Linked DNA regions of Schizosaccharomyces pombe. The protein of the gene in region 1 binds, or shares a complex with, the protein of each later gene. Links are inferred from orthologs where the notes say so. Each region holds a gene or a part of one and is shown on either strand. Other genes may lie near its edges. A codon is read from its position in the direction of its gene.

Region 1 (4,307 bases):
AGAGGCATGGTTGTCACCACCCTCAGATTGAATGGGCTCAATGATACAGGCAACGACAGGGCAATGGTGGTTAGTTAAAATTTGCTCGACCTGGTCAATGCAGCGTTGCTCCTCCTTTGCATTCTCTTCGACGTGCTCTTCCAAAGGATACTTCAAAGCAGGGAAATCAGCTTGAGGCCATGGGAAAGCAGGCATACCAAGCTTGTGAACAGGCTTGGAGCGAGTAGTGGAAAGAGAACCAAAGAGACGTCCGTGGAAAGAGTGACGGAAAGAGAGAACAGCAACTTCGGGAGATCCAGGAGCAGCGTTGTTTAAGCAGCTCTCGTTCTCTTCAGCAGTGTAATCACCAGTAGGTCTAGGCTTGTTGTTGAAATGATGAAGCATAGCAAGCTTGTAAGCAATCTCGTTGGCATCACTTCCACTCATTTGAAAGTAAACATACTTTTGACCCTTGGGGGCATATTTGATGGCACCCTCATAAGCGACACGAGCCCATTCCTTAGGAGGGTAATTTCCCAAAGCAGGACGGTTCATTAAAATGGTAGCGACTTCGTCCGACTTGGCAGCCTTGAGGAGAGTAGGATTGTTGTAGCCAATGGGGATAGTAGCGATTTGAGAGTAAACATCCAAGAGAACGTTACCATCCAAGTCGACAAGATAGTTACCAATGGACTTTTCATAGTCTACAGGAAACTTGACAGCGCTGATGTCGTGGTATTTGGACATTTCTTCAGCAGCGGCCTTACCTTTGGGACCGGGAATAGTTTCGGTCTTAATGCTAGGGCCTTGAGGCTCATTGGGAAAAAAATGAGTGCTTTCAGTAACGGTGGCAGTAGAAGACATGTTGAATAGAAAAGTATAGTCTAAATGGAGGAGAACCTTAACTTAAGGCAGTAGAAAGTAAAATTAAAAAAATAAAAATAAAAAATAAAAACAAATGTTTACAATGAAACTCTTTTGCTAAGTTCTATGCAAAAGCAGGAAAAAAAAGAAACAAAAAAACAAAAACCTCAAAATGTGAATGATAATACTTTGTTTTTTAAAAAAAGATGCTGTTTTCGTAGGAAATCGCTTTCCTTTTATAATTCGTCTCGCACGACAAATTTCCAACTTTTGATTGCGGATTTTAACCTTCTCAATTACAATCTATGCTCGGGCAACATTTCCTAAACTTCCCATATCCAGCTCGCTAAGCGGTGATAGATAAAAAATGTGGTCGGTACACTTGGCCATCGGCAACCGATACCAATTTGCAAGGCAAACGATTTTCTATGGGGATATTCGGATGATCGAAAGAAACAATAGACGAAACTCATGATTTCATCTGCGACTTTGCATCCTTCAGAAGGTTGGCAAAAACGAACATCGAGGTATCATTGTAGATGTAAATGAATGTGCATGGACAATTCTGATGAATATGTTCAAAAAATTATCAATCACGATGGGCAAAAGGAAAAAATTTCACGGAGATAGCAAAACGCTCGGATTGCCTTTGAAAGGATGAGTGGAAAATAAATCTTTAGATTTTTATTAAGTTAAAGAGAAAATCACTTTTTTTATCAGTTGGGATTGAAACGTTTGGGACAAACGGTAGGCGGTTTTAGCACAGGTGGCCAAGATATGCATGCGTATAATTTAGATTTTTTCATCTTTGACATTAGCGATACTAAAGCGTTTCGATACGAAAACGTTGCGATACAAAAACGTTAAGAATATTGTTTAACTAATGGTTTTTGATCCATGGGTTTATACCACATAGTCAATTAATAAGTACTTGTTTTCAAAGTGTCACAAAAACATCTGGGATATTAAGAGTGAATATGAGGTGGAAATAGTAAATTCTAATGCGTCCCCTTCATGAAATACATTTCCTTTTCTCTTTCAAAATTACCCTACATTTGTAGCTTCTACCAAATTACTTTTCTAATAACAAATCGTTTGTATTTCTCTTTCCTTTGCTTCCCTGTAGAATAACGCACTAGGGGGGTTTGATGACACGCTATATAGCAATTTATAAGTTATTGTCTAAAATGTTTACAACCATTCCTCGTTTGATATTTGACGAAAGGTTCGACGATCGCTTCAAGTCACTAACACTCCATAATTTAGCTTGACCAAGCTTGATCAATCTTTGGACTGATAATTTTTTGATAATCTTAGGTTAGCGTGAATGAATTGCGCGTCATAATAATAAGTTAACGTGATCAAAGGGATTGCAAATCACCACTTAACATATTAAAACTTGTAATCCTAATGTATATTTACGTGCAGTCATTGATATTTGTTATATAATGATAGCAGAGCTAAATGTACACGGTATATAAAATAAAGATAAGAATGGTAAAGCACATAAACTAGTAGATAACGTTTTACATTAATTTTTAGTCAGCGTCTCTTTTCTTTATCCAAATTGTAATTAGCATTTTCAATAGTCATCTTGCCGTATTGTATTCTATCGCATTGTGTTATTCGGTACAAGGTAGAATCTTAGGTAGCTCCACCACCAATTTCGTGCACGACAGCACAATTGGTGTAAAATCCAGTTGGTCGAGACATTTAATTCATGGTATCAATATCTTTTCTTTTTCCATCTCTCTTTTTCTAATATTTCTGACTATTCCCTTGTTTGACATTGGGTAAACCACATCTGCTTTTTCTCTTTGCACTCTTTACCATAATATTCCAAGTCTATGCGTACATTGCTGTTGAAATCTTTGAACTTCATTCAGTTTTATTTCGTCGTGCTTCATGCTTCGTGAATTTTCGTTTTACGATGTGCCTCCTGCTCACGTGCCACCGGTTTCGGAGCCTTTGGAAATTGCCTGTTATAGTTTATCGAGAGATCGCGAACTGCTGCTTGATGATAGCAAGTTAAGTTATTATTATCCTCCACCGTTATTTTCCGATCTGAACACGGGATTTCCTAATAGGTTTCACCCTCCTAAATCCGACCCTGATCCTATTTCTATTGTAAAGGACGTGCTCATGACTAAAGGCATTCAGATGAATTCCAGCTTTCTTACTTGGCGTGGTTTAATTACAAAAATTATGTGCGCTCCTTTGGATCCCAGAAACCATTGGGAAACTTATCTGGTTATGGATCCCACCAGTGGAATTATTATGATGGAAGAGCGAACTCGATCGGAAACTAGTTATGCCAACCAAGACCGAATGTGTTACTGGGGTTATAAGTTTGAAGCCATTTCCACACTTCCGGAAATATGGGATGCTTGTTCGAGAGACCAAATTGAGCAACGTGACAACCAAGATGTTGTGCCCGACGAGCAGTATTGCTCCATTGTCAAGATCAATATCGGCAAGTCAAAATTGATACTCGCAGGCGAGGTCGATTGTATTTGGGACAAAAAGCCCTGCAGTGCTAAAGAAAGCGATGTTCATAGTGATGATGGAACAATTGAAGAAGATGCATCCAATGCCGAAAATCCCAACCTGCATTACGTTGAGCTCAAGACCTCCAAAAAGTACCCCCTTGAGAACTATGGAATGAGAAAAAAGCTATTAAAGTACTGGGCACAAAGTTTTTTATTAGGAATTGGTCGTATTATAATTGGATTTCGCGATGATAATGGCATCTTAATAGAAATGAAGGAACTTTTTACGCATCAAATACCTAAAATGTTGCGCCCTTACTTCAAACCAAATGATTGGACTCCCAATCGTCTCTTGGTAGTTCTTGAGCATGCGTTAGAATGGATTAAGCAAACCGTAAAGCAACATCCCCCTTCAACCGAGTTTACACTTTCTTATACTGGCGGTTCCAAACTTGTTTTACGACAAATAATTTAAATCTATTAATTTTGTAAAATAATAAAAAAGTAGGGTTATACACTAGATGTTTTCTAAGCTTATTGCATTTAATACAAACTCATTTTCTTATGTACTCTTTCTTTCATCTCCACTATACCTAGATGACACTGCTATTTAGCGCAAACTAATATTTCAAAAATTGATATCAACCAAAGTATTTCTCTAGGATACTAAAGGGTAGATAGATGTCAGAAATCCGTCTTATAAGAGCAATTAATGATGAGCTTTACCTCGTTGAGGTTCAAGCGACATTGGAAAGAAAAGCAGATTCGTTGCATATAGGAGATTTAAAAATCATTAAAGTATGAATCGAAATTTTAAACTAGTTTTGTTTTTCTAACTAATATCTAGGAAAAAAACTCCGAAAAGAAAAAAGCTACACTTACTGTTGGCAATCAGTATATGGAGGGCGTGGTTGAATCGTTGAAAAAACCACTAGCTGTTTTGCAAAAGACGAACGCTGATCCTGTCGATGTCTA
Region 2 (4,264 bases), on another chromosome or scaffold:
ATGATAAGTGAGTATGTTTTAGGACGATGGAAGTATCAAACTTCTTATTATTAGATTTGACAAGCAGTACTTCCCTTTGTTCCGTAGAGGTGATTTTAGTATTTATAGACCACAAATATTTCTCATTCTCGTCTGAATATAAAGCATATCCTCTACTTCTGCCTAATTGAAGAGAATACAATGATTTTTTTTGTATATTAGTTAAGCCAAAAATTAAATCGGAAAAAGTCTCTAAATCTCTATTAAATGGAGCATAGTTAGAAATTTCTAGTTTAGTTAAATCGTTCGTCAATGATTCAGATATATCAGTCTCAGACGGAAGAGCTGAAATATTCGGATTTACATGACGAATTTTATTTGAAAGAGGATATAGTTGCAGCGATTTTTCTTCGCAAGAATGTTTTTTTTCAGACATTAAAAGCCCATTCTTCCTAGATAGGGCTCAACTTTCTTCGAAATATACAAAATTCCAAAAACGGCTTCGATAGGATGAAGTCAGGTACTGACGCATATAAAAGGTTAGGATAGGTATTCTAAAAATGCTTATTGACTAAGACTGCCACATTGATTGACAGTTTAAAAAAAAAAAGAAAAATAATGAAAACTAAGCATTACATTTCATGGATTTCAGCTATCACCATATAGACCAGCTGCACTAGAGTCGTCCGAAGAGGGAGAACTATCTTTTCCATAGATATCTGAGTCTTCTGGTAATTCTTTAGATTCCTCTTCATTTTCTTCTTTTCTCTGGCTTTTAAATAATGATGTTTCTTCTTCTTCTTGGGAATAGGGTCCACTGGCAGGAGGAGGAAGAGGAGAGAGATTGTCTTCAGATGGATTTTCGACAATATTGGAAGTATATGGTACGCTGTTAATGCTTGGAGAGTAAGAATCTACTTGAGGAGAATAAGCATCATCACTGTTTGGAGAACTAGACGGAGGTGATGTTGTTTCTACATTATGTTTGCCAGCAGTAGAACTTTTATCTCCAAAACCTGCATCGGTCAAGGTAGAGGTAGCTGTTGTACTTTCCTTATTCTCTAAATTAGAAATTATGGATTCAACAGATTTTAGGCTCTCTTCTTCCTCTGAAAGTAGCTTTTTTTGTTCTTCTATAAGCGATTCCAAGGAAGTAATGAGTGTGGATCGGGATTCGATGCAAGCCTGATAATTACCTTTACATGATTCAGAGGCTTTATTTAGTTGCTTTTTATAATTATCGAGTAGTTCAGAATAATCTGATTGTTTCTCCAAGTATGATTTATACAATGCATCTACCACAGTTTTGGTAGAGTGAGCAGATTTTGCGTATAAACTAGTTTGTGTCATTAAACGAGTGTAAGGTGCCTATGCAATTAGTAAAGTTCTGATATTTTATTTGAATTGCGGCATACCCATTCCGGAGGGCCAACGGGGTAATAGTTAGAATGGCCACTGTTCTCGGCATTATTAAACCTTTCCTGCAAGGATAAAAGTATCTCCTTAGAAAATATGCCGCGTTGACACCAAACGTCAAAAACGTATTTGATTTTTGTTTTAATGGAAGCAGGAACTGACGCGTACGCGTCAGCTACAGAGTTTACGACATACTATGCAAATATTATTAGAATCTAAACCATATAGGAGATGTTCCAAGCTCATAATGATAGTAACTTACTGGAGAAACGGCATCAATATATTCAGATATTTTTTTGACCCGGGATTGTTGAACGACTTCGTTGAGCAGGTAAAGCAATAAAAGCTTTTTGTTGGAAGAAGCTGGTTAAATTAGTTAGACAATCGAACAAATTCCTAAAGGAGTCATACATTCATACAAAGCTTCCAGCCATATTTGGACAATTTCATCAGCATAACGCTTGTGAAACATAACCCAATGCGCTATTCCCGTTATACTTTCTTGTGTTTCATTTAGAGTAGCCAACTTTGAAGAAACAGTGTCTGGAGTCAAAGCCATCTTGTTTTATGCTGATGGTGAGTTTCTTACGACACACTGCTGTTAGCATCGCAAACGAAATCATAAGCATAAGTAATAAATACTTCTTGTATAATATCAATGTTTTACATTATAGCCTATACTTAAAATGATTTTGAAACAACAGATTAATTAGTTTGGGTAGAGCAAAAATCTTCGTCTCATTTGTAAAGATGGAAAAGAACATTTATTATTCTCAAACTACCCAGTTTTCTCCAAGATTCCCTCTTAAATATTAGGTATATAAAATACATTATTCGTTTTCTCATGATTTTGTTTAGTCTCAGCAGGTCATCTTAGCTAACGGCTATCACTCACTGTAACATTTACAGTACGAGTTTTGGTAAGAATGCTAGACGAAATCTTGTGATGTTATATGTTGGGGATTATGAAAAGAAACTATTCGGCGTGTTGAGAAATGTGTACGGAGTGCAAATGTGTGTTTTAATGACTTGTCTGAAGCAGGAATTACTATATACTACTCACCGCATTGAGACTTTGTTTTTGCTTCCCTTGTATTACTATAAACTATGGCATATACTTACGTAAAAAATTATATAATAAACTAATTGTTCGTTTGAAATCGTATTTATTTGTCAACCGGGCAGGCAAAGCAGTAAAGATGTTCTGAAATTGAACGATAATACGAGTTTCAAAAAAAATAAAAAAATAAATGAATAAAGTAAAATAAATTAACTCCTAAGAACAAAGTTAAAACGGGATGACTAGTAGTAAGCAAAATTGTAAATAAAAAGTGCCGTAAGAATGTCAACGTATAAAACTAATGTTCATTTTCTGCCAATGATAGTCATTTCACCTTTCATAGTAGTTATTTCAACTTAATGGATGCAATCTCATTCTGCGTAGCGTCAAACTCAGAATTCATGTCGTTTCGCCAACACTCTATACCAGAAATATATCATTGAAGGACTTTTCAAGTCTTGTATTTGCTCATTCATCTATTCAACAATATAACCCATATATTAGAATACCAATCTCAATTGCTACTTATATATTACTTGCGAATTACAATATAATAGATCACTAGGAAAACACCGTAGTTCTACGTATCGTTAAATTAAATACTTGCGTAGCTAACATTATATCCTCTTAACGCATTTGTTGTAGCTATGGGTTATATTATTTACAATTAATAGCTTGAATGAGTAATATACCTTTTCTTTAAATATTTCGTGATTATTTAGAGCTGTTGAGAATCCCTTAAGAGGAATACAATAAAGCAGGATAAAGAAATGTTTTTCTATTAACTTTGTTATGCATGTTTGCAATCGAAGTTTGTTTTTAAACAAATACTCCTCTATTCAATAAATCTAACTTTGTAATAAGTTACCTGCAAATAAGCCATTTTTCTTTTATTTTACAGATAAAGCCCATTTTCATTATCTGTATCACGTACTCCCAGTGTGAAGTTACTTAGGTTACCTTGTTTCTTAATCCATCAAAAACTCTTTTCTTTGTCCTTAGCATTCTTTGTTTAAAGTTGTATATAAGGGGAACTTGAGAGATTTGAATTTACTTACAACACATATATTAAATATTGCTTTCAACACACGTTTGTACTTTTATTTTCCAAGATTTCCCTTTCTGAGAAATATTTGTCAATTAGTAAACATATAAGGCAGGCTACAAAAGATATCATTTGTATAGTTATAGTGAATTGAAATTTTATCGTTAAAAAGAATACTGCGGTTTATTGCAACTGGTTTTGTATAAATAATAAGGATGATGTCGAACGAGAATTTTGATAATGACTACAATCTGCCACCACCAAATGATTCTGCGGAAGATTTAAAAATTTTCATTGAAAGATACGAGAGATCTGTAGATTCTACATTGTTAGAAATTGACGAAAACAAAAGAGAAGCACTTGAAAAAAATATATTGAGGAATGAGATCGTAAAATGAAATATGAAATTGAATGCAATGAAAGGCTACAAGGATGGAAAAAGTTAGCGATTGAAAGGGAAATTTCTGAAGAACAATCGGGAGAAGTACAATTTCCACGCTGGATAGATGAATGGGCAAACACTAAACTAGGTGGAATTTTCGAACGAATATTTTCTAAAATGGACTCAATGCAAAATGACATGAATTCTCGGTTTGACGCTATGCAGAATGAGATGACATCTATGAAAGGCGAAATGGCCGAAATGAAAGTTGAAATGGTTGAAATGAAAAGGGAAACGATCCGTTTGAACACTAGAATTGATTTACTCGAACAAAAAACTGAAGCAAGGTTTCAGTCAATAGAGCAGCGATTTAATTCTATTG
Region 3 (7,539 bases), 1.9 Mb from region 1:
GGTTTGGAGCAAAATAAAATCTCCAAAATATTACTAGGTTTAGCCGCCAAACCAAATTTTGAAGAGAATGGAGTGGTGTTTTTAAAAGCGGTTACTCGTGATACTAGTAAGTTACATCTCTTGGAACTTTTATTCATGAATGGGTTATTGCTTCCTGACTCCGAACAGTTGTCGGAGCATGTAAGTCCAGATATGCAATCATATCTTTCGCAAAAACAATTTACAAAGTATTTGAAAGAGTAGGGAGAAGCATTTTTACTTTTTGCATCAAATCATCTTTTATGTTCATTTTTCCAATCGAATTCATTCTTTCTTTTTACCATCTATTTCAATATCTATTCAGGTGTCATTTCATTTCGGATTTCCGTGAATTCCATGATTTGAAGCGCAACGAATTTGAATGGAGAGCTTATTAATCTCCACAGCTTTACTCTTATTCGGATCATGTGTTAATTCTATAATTTATTATTGCAATTTATTTTGGTTGTTTGCTAAACAACGTAATTTACTCATTATTTTCTTGGTCATCTTTTGGTTTTCGAACTTTCTTTTCCTCTTTATTTTCATTATACTCTTAATCTTTTTTCTTTCAATACAAAATTTTTTGACTAAGGATACAGCTATTCTTTCTTTAAATACGCATTCAAATGCGATTTTTAGGCTCTTCTCGATTGATGGATCTTATGCATGCCATAAGTTCATTTGTTATTGAACAAGATCAATATTCAATATACGTGAAATTAACATGTATGCCAAACAGTTCATTCGAGCTATTATAACATTTATTTTCTTCTTTTGCGAAACGAAGACGCTTAAGATTTTATTTTTCAACACATTCGGAACAACTGAATATCTATAGTAATTGAATCCCCTTTTTCTAAAAATGACAGACGATATTATCATTACCTATAAACTAGTTGACACAGTAATAAATATCATTCTTTTGTAACTTGTAGATAAACAAAAACAATTTTTTTGGTCTTGCCTTCCGTAACATTCAAACAACGATTTCTATTTGTGTAGTTGCTGCTTGAATGTAAATCCCTTTTTCTTCTTTAGATTTACAATAGATTGAAAACTAGTTTGATGTCGACATTCTTCTTATCAAAGACATGGAAGTTTGATCACCTTGCTAAATTTCTTTTTGATAACAAGGTGTAATTTGGATTGGAGGATTTCGCTAGCCACGTGCTTAATAAGTTACATTGAGATTTCAGGAATATAATATTTTGGAGCTCAAAATTATCGCAAGCTAGATATTCTGAGACTAGCCTACAAATCAGGACATCTTCCCTCGTATCTTTGCTTTCTACTCATTCCTCTTCCTTCACCTAAAATTTCAAGTCGGTGATTGTTTATATGAACAGTAAATTTTTTGGACTCGTTCAAAAAGGCACAAGATCCTTTTTTCCTTCATTAAATTTTTGCTATACAAGGAACATCATGTCTGTCTCAGCTTCATCTCTGGTTCCTAAAGATTTTCGTGCTTTTCGTATTGGCTTGGTTCAGCTTGCCAATACCAAAGACAAGAGCGAAAATTTACAACTCGCTCGTTTAAAAGTATTGGAAGCCGCTAAAAACGGTTCTAATGTCATTGTATTACCAGAAATTTTCAATTCACCATATGGTACTGGTTACTTTAATCAGTATGCTGAACCTATAGAGGAATCATCTCCTTCTTACCAAGCTTTATCCTCTATGGCAAAGGTTTGTTAATTTAATTTTCGTTGATTATGTGAGACTAACGGTACTGTAGGATACTAAGACTTACTTATTTGGCGGTTCTATTCCTGAACGCAAGGATGGCAAATTATACAACACTGCAATGGTGTTTGATCCTTCTGGAAAATTGATAGCCGTTCATCGGAAAATTCATTTATTCGATATTGACATTCCTGGTGGAGTTAGCTTCCGCGAATCTGATAGTCTTTCACCTGGCGACGCCATGACTATGGTTGACACTGAATACGGGAAGTTTGGTTTGGGTATTTGTTACGATATACGATTTCCGGAACTCGCTATGATAGCAGCTAGAAATGGCTGTAGTGTGATGATTTACCCTGGAGCATTTAATTTGTCCACAGGCCCTTTACATTGGGAACTACTTGCACGAGCCCGAGCAGTTGATAATGAGATGTTCGTTGCTTGCTGTGCCCCTGCTAGAGATATGAACGCTGACTATCATTCATGGGGACATTCTACTGTTGTAGACCCTTTCGGAAAAGTTATTGCTACTACTGATGAAAAACCGTCTATCGTTTACGCAGATATTGATCCCTCTGTCATGTCTACCGCTCGAAACAGCGTTCCTATCTATACTCAACGCCGCTTTGATGTTTATTCAGAAGTATTACCTGCTCTTAAGAAAGAGGAATAGATCGGTATAGTTGTTGAGTATAATTTTATGTTATCAACATGCATTTTGTAACTGAATTGCATAACTAATTATGCAATGTGCCAATGAAATTCAAATAATCAGATATATTATTTATCTCCAATATCCCAAACCCGCTTTCAAAATTGTACTAAGAAAACTTAAATGTATTAATAGTAGCCATTCCTGTTATTATTGTTATAGGATTCTCGCTGATAGCCGTAACCCTTTCCGCGATTACTACTATAGTGGTTACCAGCTGGCGGTCCATTCGAATAACCACCACCTCTCGAGCGCCCGCCGTATCCTTCGTGGCCGCCGCGAGAGTTATAGCTTGCATTAGAACGAGGAAAATTGCCATTACCAGACCAAGGAGGTTGAACTCCACCGTTTGCAAAACCATTAGTAACTCCAGTGTAGCTCTGTCGACTACTGTAACTTTGCGATTGGTAAGAGCGTCGGACACCATAACTTTGGTGTCCTCCACGATACGAATTACCATTGTTTCGGCGGGAAGAAAAGCTCCTCTCTGCACGTACTTGGTTGATATCTTCTGGGGTTAACACCCTGTTCGGCATTTTCACTCCCCTTAAAAGCATGGATTTATGTACGAAATGCGATTTAGGTACTTCAAACACAAGACTTATAGATTGATTATCATCTATGCTTCCATACTTCTGAAGGGCGTCAGCGGATGTAACATCAATTGGGCATTGAACGGATACATTGGGAATTACGGAATCATTGGTGTTAACTTTGCCAAACAATCCATGTGCCATCTTTCCGGATAACTTAAGTGGTTTACCTTGACGTTTCTTGGAGTAAAGTTGTTTGACAAGTTCGCTAAACATTGGATGATGTTCAGAAATAAATAATAAAGTAGAACCATCCTCATTTCTTTTTGACTCTTCCTCGGTAAGTTGAGGATAGATTTTTGATACAGCATTCAAAAGCCGATTTTCATCTATAAATGGTAAAAGAGCAACTCCCTGCCATTCAAATTTTTTCCCGTTTAAATCAATAGTAAAATTTTCCGGGTAAAAGTCAATAATTTCAGAGTTTTCATCAGTCATAAGAGTTTGCAATTTTTCAGGTAAATTATTTTTACTAGCAGCAGGTAAAACGCCTAGTAATTGTTCGTAAGGCTTGAAGGGTTGATTTAGTTCAAATTTTACATCTATGGAGGCCAAATCTTTGAAATCAGCGGCAAAAGGAGCATAATGATATGGATAATACCAGGTCCAAGATGGACAGCCTTGATAATAATACAAAAGAACCCAGCACAATCCATGAACATAATGTTTAACAGCTTCACGAATTTTTTCTGGTTCATCGGGTGAAATGTGGAATTTTTGTTCATAATACCGTTCGCGGTATCCAGGCTCATACAGGCGGACTGTATCAGTATTTTCATTTTCTTCAGTCGAATCTGGGGCCTTTCTCTTCTGACCCACATTTGAAACTTTTGTGTCTATTGGATGTACAACAGGGGTACTAGATTCAATACTATCGGTATCTTCATATGCACTGGATGAAGCTATGCTGTCTTCCAAAGGAACATTTTGTAGTGTCTCATTTGAAACCAACTGAGCTTTCAATGCAGAGGCCGCCAATTTGTTAACTGAAGAAACAGCAGCTGCTTCCCTAGAAAGTCCAAGACGGTTAGCAGCGCGATTATTAATTAATTCTCTATTAGTAGCGCCTAGAGATCGATTTGAAGTTTTTTCAGACAAATTAACCAAATCCACTGGAGCCGGAGCGTCAATTTTTTGAGTTTTCTTTGGCGGTTTAGTATCAACAGAAGTTGATTTAGAAGAGGTAACAACTTCTGTCGATTGCGTCTCAACTGAACGCTGAATTACGACGTTGTCAACATAAGATTCTGATTCCTGATTTGACTCGCGTTGTTGACGGCGTCTATAGTTTTCGTTACGACGATCTTCTTGCTGTTTAAGACGCTTAAAAATATCATCTTCCTGGTTACCTACAGCACTCAGAATGACTTCAGCACGAGCTAAATTAACAGAACCATCCAAAGTAAGATAACCACCCATGTGCGGAAGACTAGCTCGCCATATTTCAGTCAACCGCTCTACGGCACCATCACGAATATCTAAACTAGGCAAATGAGGAAGAAAATCATTACCCACAAAAAAGATAAAGAAGACCCAGTCGTCAATCGCACGTTCTAAGTCAAATGGAAAAGGTAAATTGGGGACATAAAGTTCCACTTCTAGATACTCCCTCAAAATGCTAACGTTGAGCCATATAAATGGTTTTTTTACAGGAACCTTATTGGTCTCAGAAACATCATCAAGTCTCTTGATGCCAAGACGCTCTTCCTTTGTCTTTTTAGTACTTCCTTGTTGAAAGAAGACATCTTCACGCAATACACGAAAATGGGGTTCATGAGTAGCCAAACCAAGCATAATTAGGTCTGCATCTAAACCGTAAACAACGTGGTGTGTATTTGGATCATACTCTGGTTTCACTCGTTGAGATCGAATAAATTCCATGATCTTATGCTCACCTTCACCAGGAACCGAGGCGTCAGAAAGTATAAATCTGACATTTCTCCAGCACGGATCACTATTTAGTTTATTTATTATGTAGTAACGAAGAGACTTGGCCAAAGTGTCCATGAAAGGTGTGCCGGGGGTAATGCAATTACTGTCCCAAGATTTTTTCTTCGTAGCGTTTTCGTCGATGGGAATTCCCTGTTGTTTTGCCTCCTCAATGAAGGCTTGTAATTCTTCTTCTTTGAGAGCTGCTTCACGAGAAGAACGAAAACGACGTGATCTCTGCTGATTCATTTTGGCTCTAGGAGCCACGCCATCGATTGCAATGAACAATAACTGACGAGGACGAACCATGGCAAGAATACGATCCGTGTATTCAAAGACAGCAACCATCATCTCGTCTTCAGTCTCTGGAGCGGGGCGATCTTCAGGATGGGAACAAGGATGAACAATACCATTCATATCCAAATACAAGTTGTCGCATTCCACTCCGTTTGGATTGGGAAGACTTAAATCTGGTTCAATTTCAGTACCATCTGGAAGCTTTTCAGTAGGAGCCTCAATAACAGGTGTAATGACCTTTGCGAATTTCCTCGACAAAAGGCGGAAAAGTGCTGGAACACCCATTTTTTGGTGTAAAGGAGAAAATACTCAATCGAATAAATCTTCTCCAAACCAAATGCTTCAAAAAAGCCCAAATTGGTAAATTTTAGATACTAAAGACTACGAGTGTAGTATAAGTTGAAGATTTAATATTTAGGTATTTTAATCTAGATCTAGCGTAGTCTCCGCAGTCCTACCTAAATTTTTTAACGCACATTGGAGTAAATTGGAAATTACTAACGTACTCGCTATACAATAGTTAAAATCTAGTCTCTTAAGTGTAAGCTACGCAGTTTGGTATCTGATTTAAGGATACGTAGAACTGCGGTGAGTTTTCCTTGTGATCTATTATATTACAATACACAGGTTGTATAAGTAGCAACTGAGTATAGGTATTGTATTAACTGGGTTATAATGTTACCTATCACTAATATAGCTCATAACTGAACTGAGGAACGAGGTTCAGCAGTAGCTCTATTTATAGTATTCAGATAATATTGATCTTAATAGATTATCATTAAGATCAATCTCCATATCGTATCATACATGGTACGATATATAATTAGAACATGTGACATATAGTGATACTCAACGTAGTGTATTATAGCGTAGTGTAGTATTGCTGACATTGCCCTCCCCAAGATTTTCTATGTAAATCTGAGGATAAGTCATATGTTCTCAGATATTTAGATTATTGTTTTTAATATAATCATTGACAATTGCTTTGTCCGCTTGTAGCGCTGTAGCTAATGTAGTCCATCCTGACATAATAGTACTCGGATTTAGATTCGAAATGTACTTGACATTTAAGTAGAGTACTTGTTCTCTGTTTTTATGTTCTAGGATATGAAGAATTGTTCCAATATCAGACTCATCAATGGTAGCGTAATTGAGTTCTGAATTATGTCGATACTTTTCTAGGTGAGAAACATGAAAAGTAGATGAAAACATGTGCTTGATTGAATCTGGAAGATCCAATTCATAGTTGTTTGGACCCGACTTCTGTAACACATAGAACGGTCCTGCAAAACTAGGTGCTAATTTATTGGATTTATGAAGAAAACCTGTTTTCGTTCTTTTGACCATAACTAGGTCTCCAGGTTGAAATTCTTCAATTTCTTGTATTTTCATATCGAAATACTTTTTCATCTTTATGTTGTTTGTATTCAAGTGTTCTTTAACTGTTTGAAATACTTGGATCGTTTCCTGAGAGTTTTCGTCAGTTTTGTCACTAAAGCTAGGTAACTCTAAAGGTGATAAAGCTGGTGAATAGCGATGTACTATCTCAAAAGGTGTCATTTGAGTTGCTGAATGTATCGCATTGTTGTAAGATTGTTGCACTAGGGATATATGATCTACCCATGTATTTGGATGTGTGCTACATACACATCTTAGTAATTTCTCCACAGTTTGGTTTGTACGCTCAGTTTGTCCATCAGTTTGTGGTCTGTATGGTAACGAAAATTTCATAACGAAATTATATTTATGTGCGAAATCTTTCCACGTTTGGGAAGTAAAAATATGATCATTATCTGCAATGATTTCTTTTGGATTGCCGAAATAAGCAATAACTCGTTGATCAAACATTCGAGCTGTTTGCTCTGCTGTAATGGATTTCGTACAAGGTACTAAGATTGCCATTTTTGAAAATCGGTCAACTACCACGAAAAGTGCATTATAACCAGATGATTCTGGTAAAGCTGTAATAAAATCCATTGATAAAGATTCCCAAGGTCTTTCTGATGGGGGAATTGGTTGTAAAGGTCCATAAGGTTTATGATTCCTAGATTTGTTTATTTGACATGTATGGCAGTTCTGTACATATTCTTGTATTTGTTTTCTTATTCCTTTCCACGTAAATCTACGTAATATAATGTTTGTAAGAAGTTCAATGCCTGGATGAATCAATTTACCTTCTTCATGATACTTTTTAATAATTGTCCTAGTCAGCTGAGTATCATTAGGTAATAAGATTTGGTCTTTACTGTTAATTAGTAAGCCATCTTTGAGTTGGATATTCTCTTCCACTCGTTTGTCTTCATT

The links.
Region 2: the proteins of din1 (region 1) and rhn1 are in contact, whole or in part, in a cryo-EM structure (PDB 8YF5), measured with the Komagataella phaffii proteins. The link is inferred for Schizosaccharomyces pombe from one-to-one orthologs. Residues at the interface, in XP_002490393.1 of Komagataella phaffii: Ser62, Lys63, His64, Phe65, Leu66, Leu67, Gln147, Lys154, Lys186, Lys188, Cys189; in XP_002490270.1 of Komagataella phaffii: Gln19, Tyr59, Asn62, Gln66, Arg105, Val109, Gln112, Arg113, Lys114.
Region 3: the proteins of din1 (region 1) and dhp1 are in contact, whole or in part, in a crystal structure (PDB 3FQD), measured with the Schizosaccharomyces pombe proteins. Residues at the interface, in NP_594904.1 of Schizosaccharomyces pombe: Tyr45 (codon at 2,881), Tyr46 (codon at 2,884), Pro47 (codon at 2,887), Ile158 (codon at 3,220), Trp159 (codon at 3,223), Asp160 (codon at 3,226), Ala161 (codon at 3,229), Cys162 (codon at 3,232), Ser163 (codon at 3,235), Arg164 (codon at 3,238), Ile167 (codon at 3,247), Glu168 (codon at 3,250), Trp204 (codon at 3,358), Asp205 (codon at 3,361), Lys206 (codon at 3,364), Glu231 (codon at 3,439), His236 (codon at 3,454), Glu288 (codon at 3,610); in NP_594155.1 of Schizosaccharomyces pombe: Arg218 (codon at 4,869), Val219 (codon at 4,866), Pro221 (codon at 4,860), Glu222 (codon at 4,857), Asp318 (codon at 4,569), Arg321 (codon at 4,560), Leu371 (codon at 4,410), Asp372 (codon at 4,407), Lys789 (codon at 3,156), Ser843 (codon at 2,994), Phe845 (codon at 2,988), Val846 (codon at 2,985), His847 (codon at 2,982), Lys848 (codon at 2,979), Ser849 (codon at 2,976), Met850 (codon at 2,973), Leu851 (codon at 2,970), Leu852 (codon at 2,967), Arg853 (codon at 2,964), Gly854 (codon at 2,961), Lys856 (codon at 2,955).

What each region holds. Positions count from the first base shown.
Region 1 is NC_003424.3:5,219,720-5,224,026, reverse strand, and holds din1 (RNA NAD-cap (NAD-forming) hydrolase/RNA pyrophosphohydrolase Din1), read left to right. Parts: upstream 1-2,640; 5' UTR 2,641-2,748; coding exon 2,749-3,807; downstream 3,808-4,307. Other genes in the region: uga1 (4-aminobutyrate aminotransferase (GABA transaminase)), read right to left, coding at 1-843; SPOM_SPAC19D5.10C (uncharacterized protein), read left to right, coding at 2,308-2,316, 2,386-2,640; DNA replication factor C complex subunit Ctf8, read left to right, coding at 4,014-4,130, 4,180-4,307. UniProt on the Schizosaccharomyces pombe protein: Decapping enzyme for NAD-capped RNAs: specifically hydrolyzes the nicotinamide adenine dinucleotide (NAD) cap from a subset of RNAs by removing the entire NAD moiety from the 5'-end of an NAD-capped RNA.
Region 2 is NC_003423.3:1,033,228-1,037,491, reverse strand, and holds rhn1 (RNA polymerase II transcription termination factor), read right to left. Parts: upstream 1,971-4,264; 5' UTR 1,955-1,970; coding exon 1,807-1,954; exon of another isoform or gene 1,759-1,806; coding exon 1,658-1,758; exon of another isoform or gene 1,590-1,657; coding exon 1,395-1,589; intron 1,348-1,394; coding exon 628-1,347; downstream 1-627. Other genes in the region: serine/threonine protein kinase Ppk27, read right to left, coding at 1-415.
Region 3 is NC_003424.3:3,355,373-3,362,911, forward strand, and holds dhp1 (5'-3' exoribonuclease Dhp1), read right to left. Parts: upstream 5,632-7,539; 5' UTR 5,521-5,631; coding exon 2,545-5,520; 3' UTR 2,378-2,544; coding exon of another isoform or gene 1,757-2,377; 3' UTR 1,708-1,756; coding exon of another isoform or gene 1,360-1,707; 3' UTR 772-1,359; downstream 1-771. Other genes in the region: cnt6 (centaurin ADOP ribosylation factor GTPase-activating protein), read left to right, coding at 1-243; SPOM_SPAC26A3.11 (mitochondrial omega-amidase), read left to right, coding at 1,360-1,707, 1,757-2,377; Tf2-4 (retrotransposable element/transposon Tf2-type), read right to left, coding at 6,175-7,539. UniProt on the Schizosaccharomyces pombe protein: Possesses 5'->3' exoribonuclease activity. Required for the processing of nuclear mRNA and rRNA precursors. May promote the termination of transcription by RNA polymerase II. Essential for vegetative cell growth and chromosome segregation.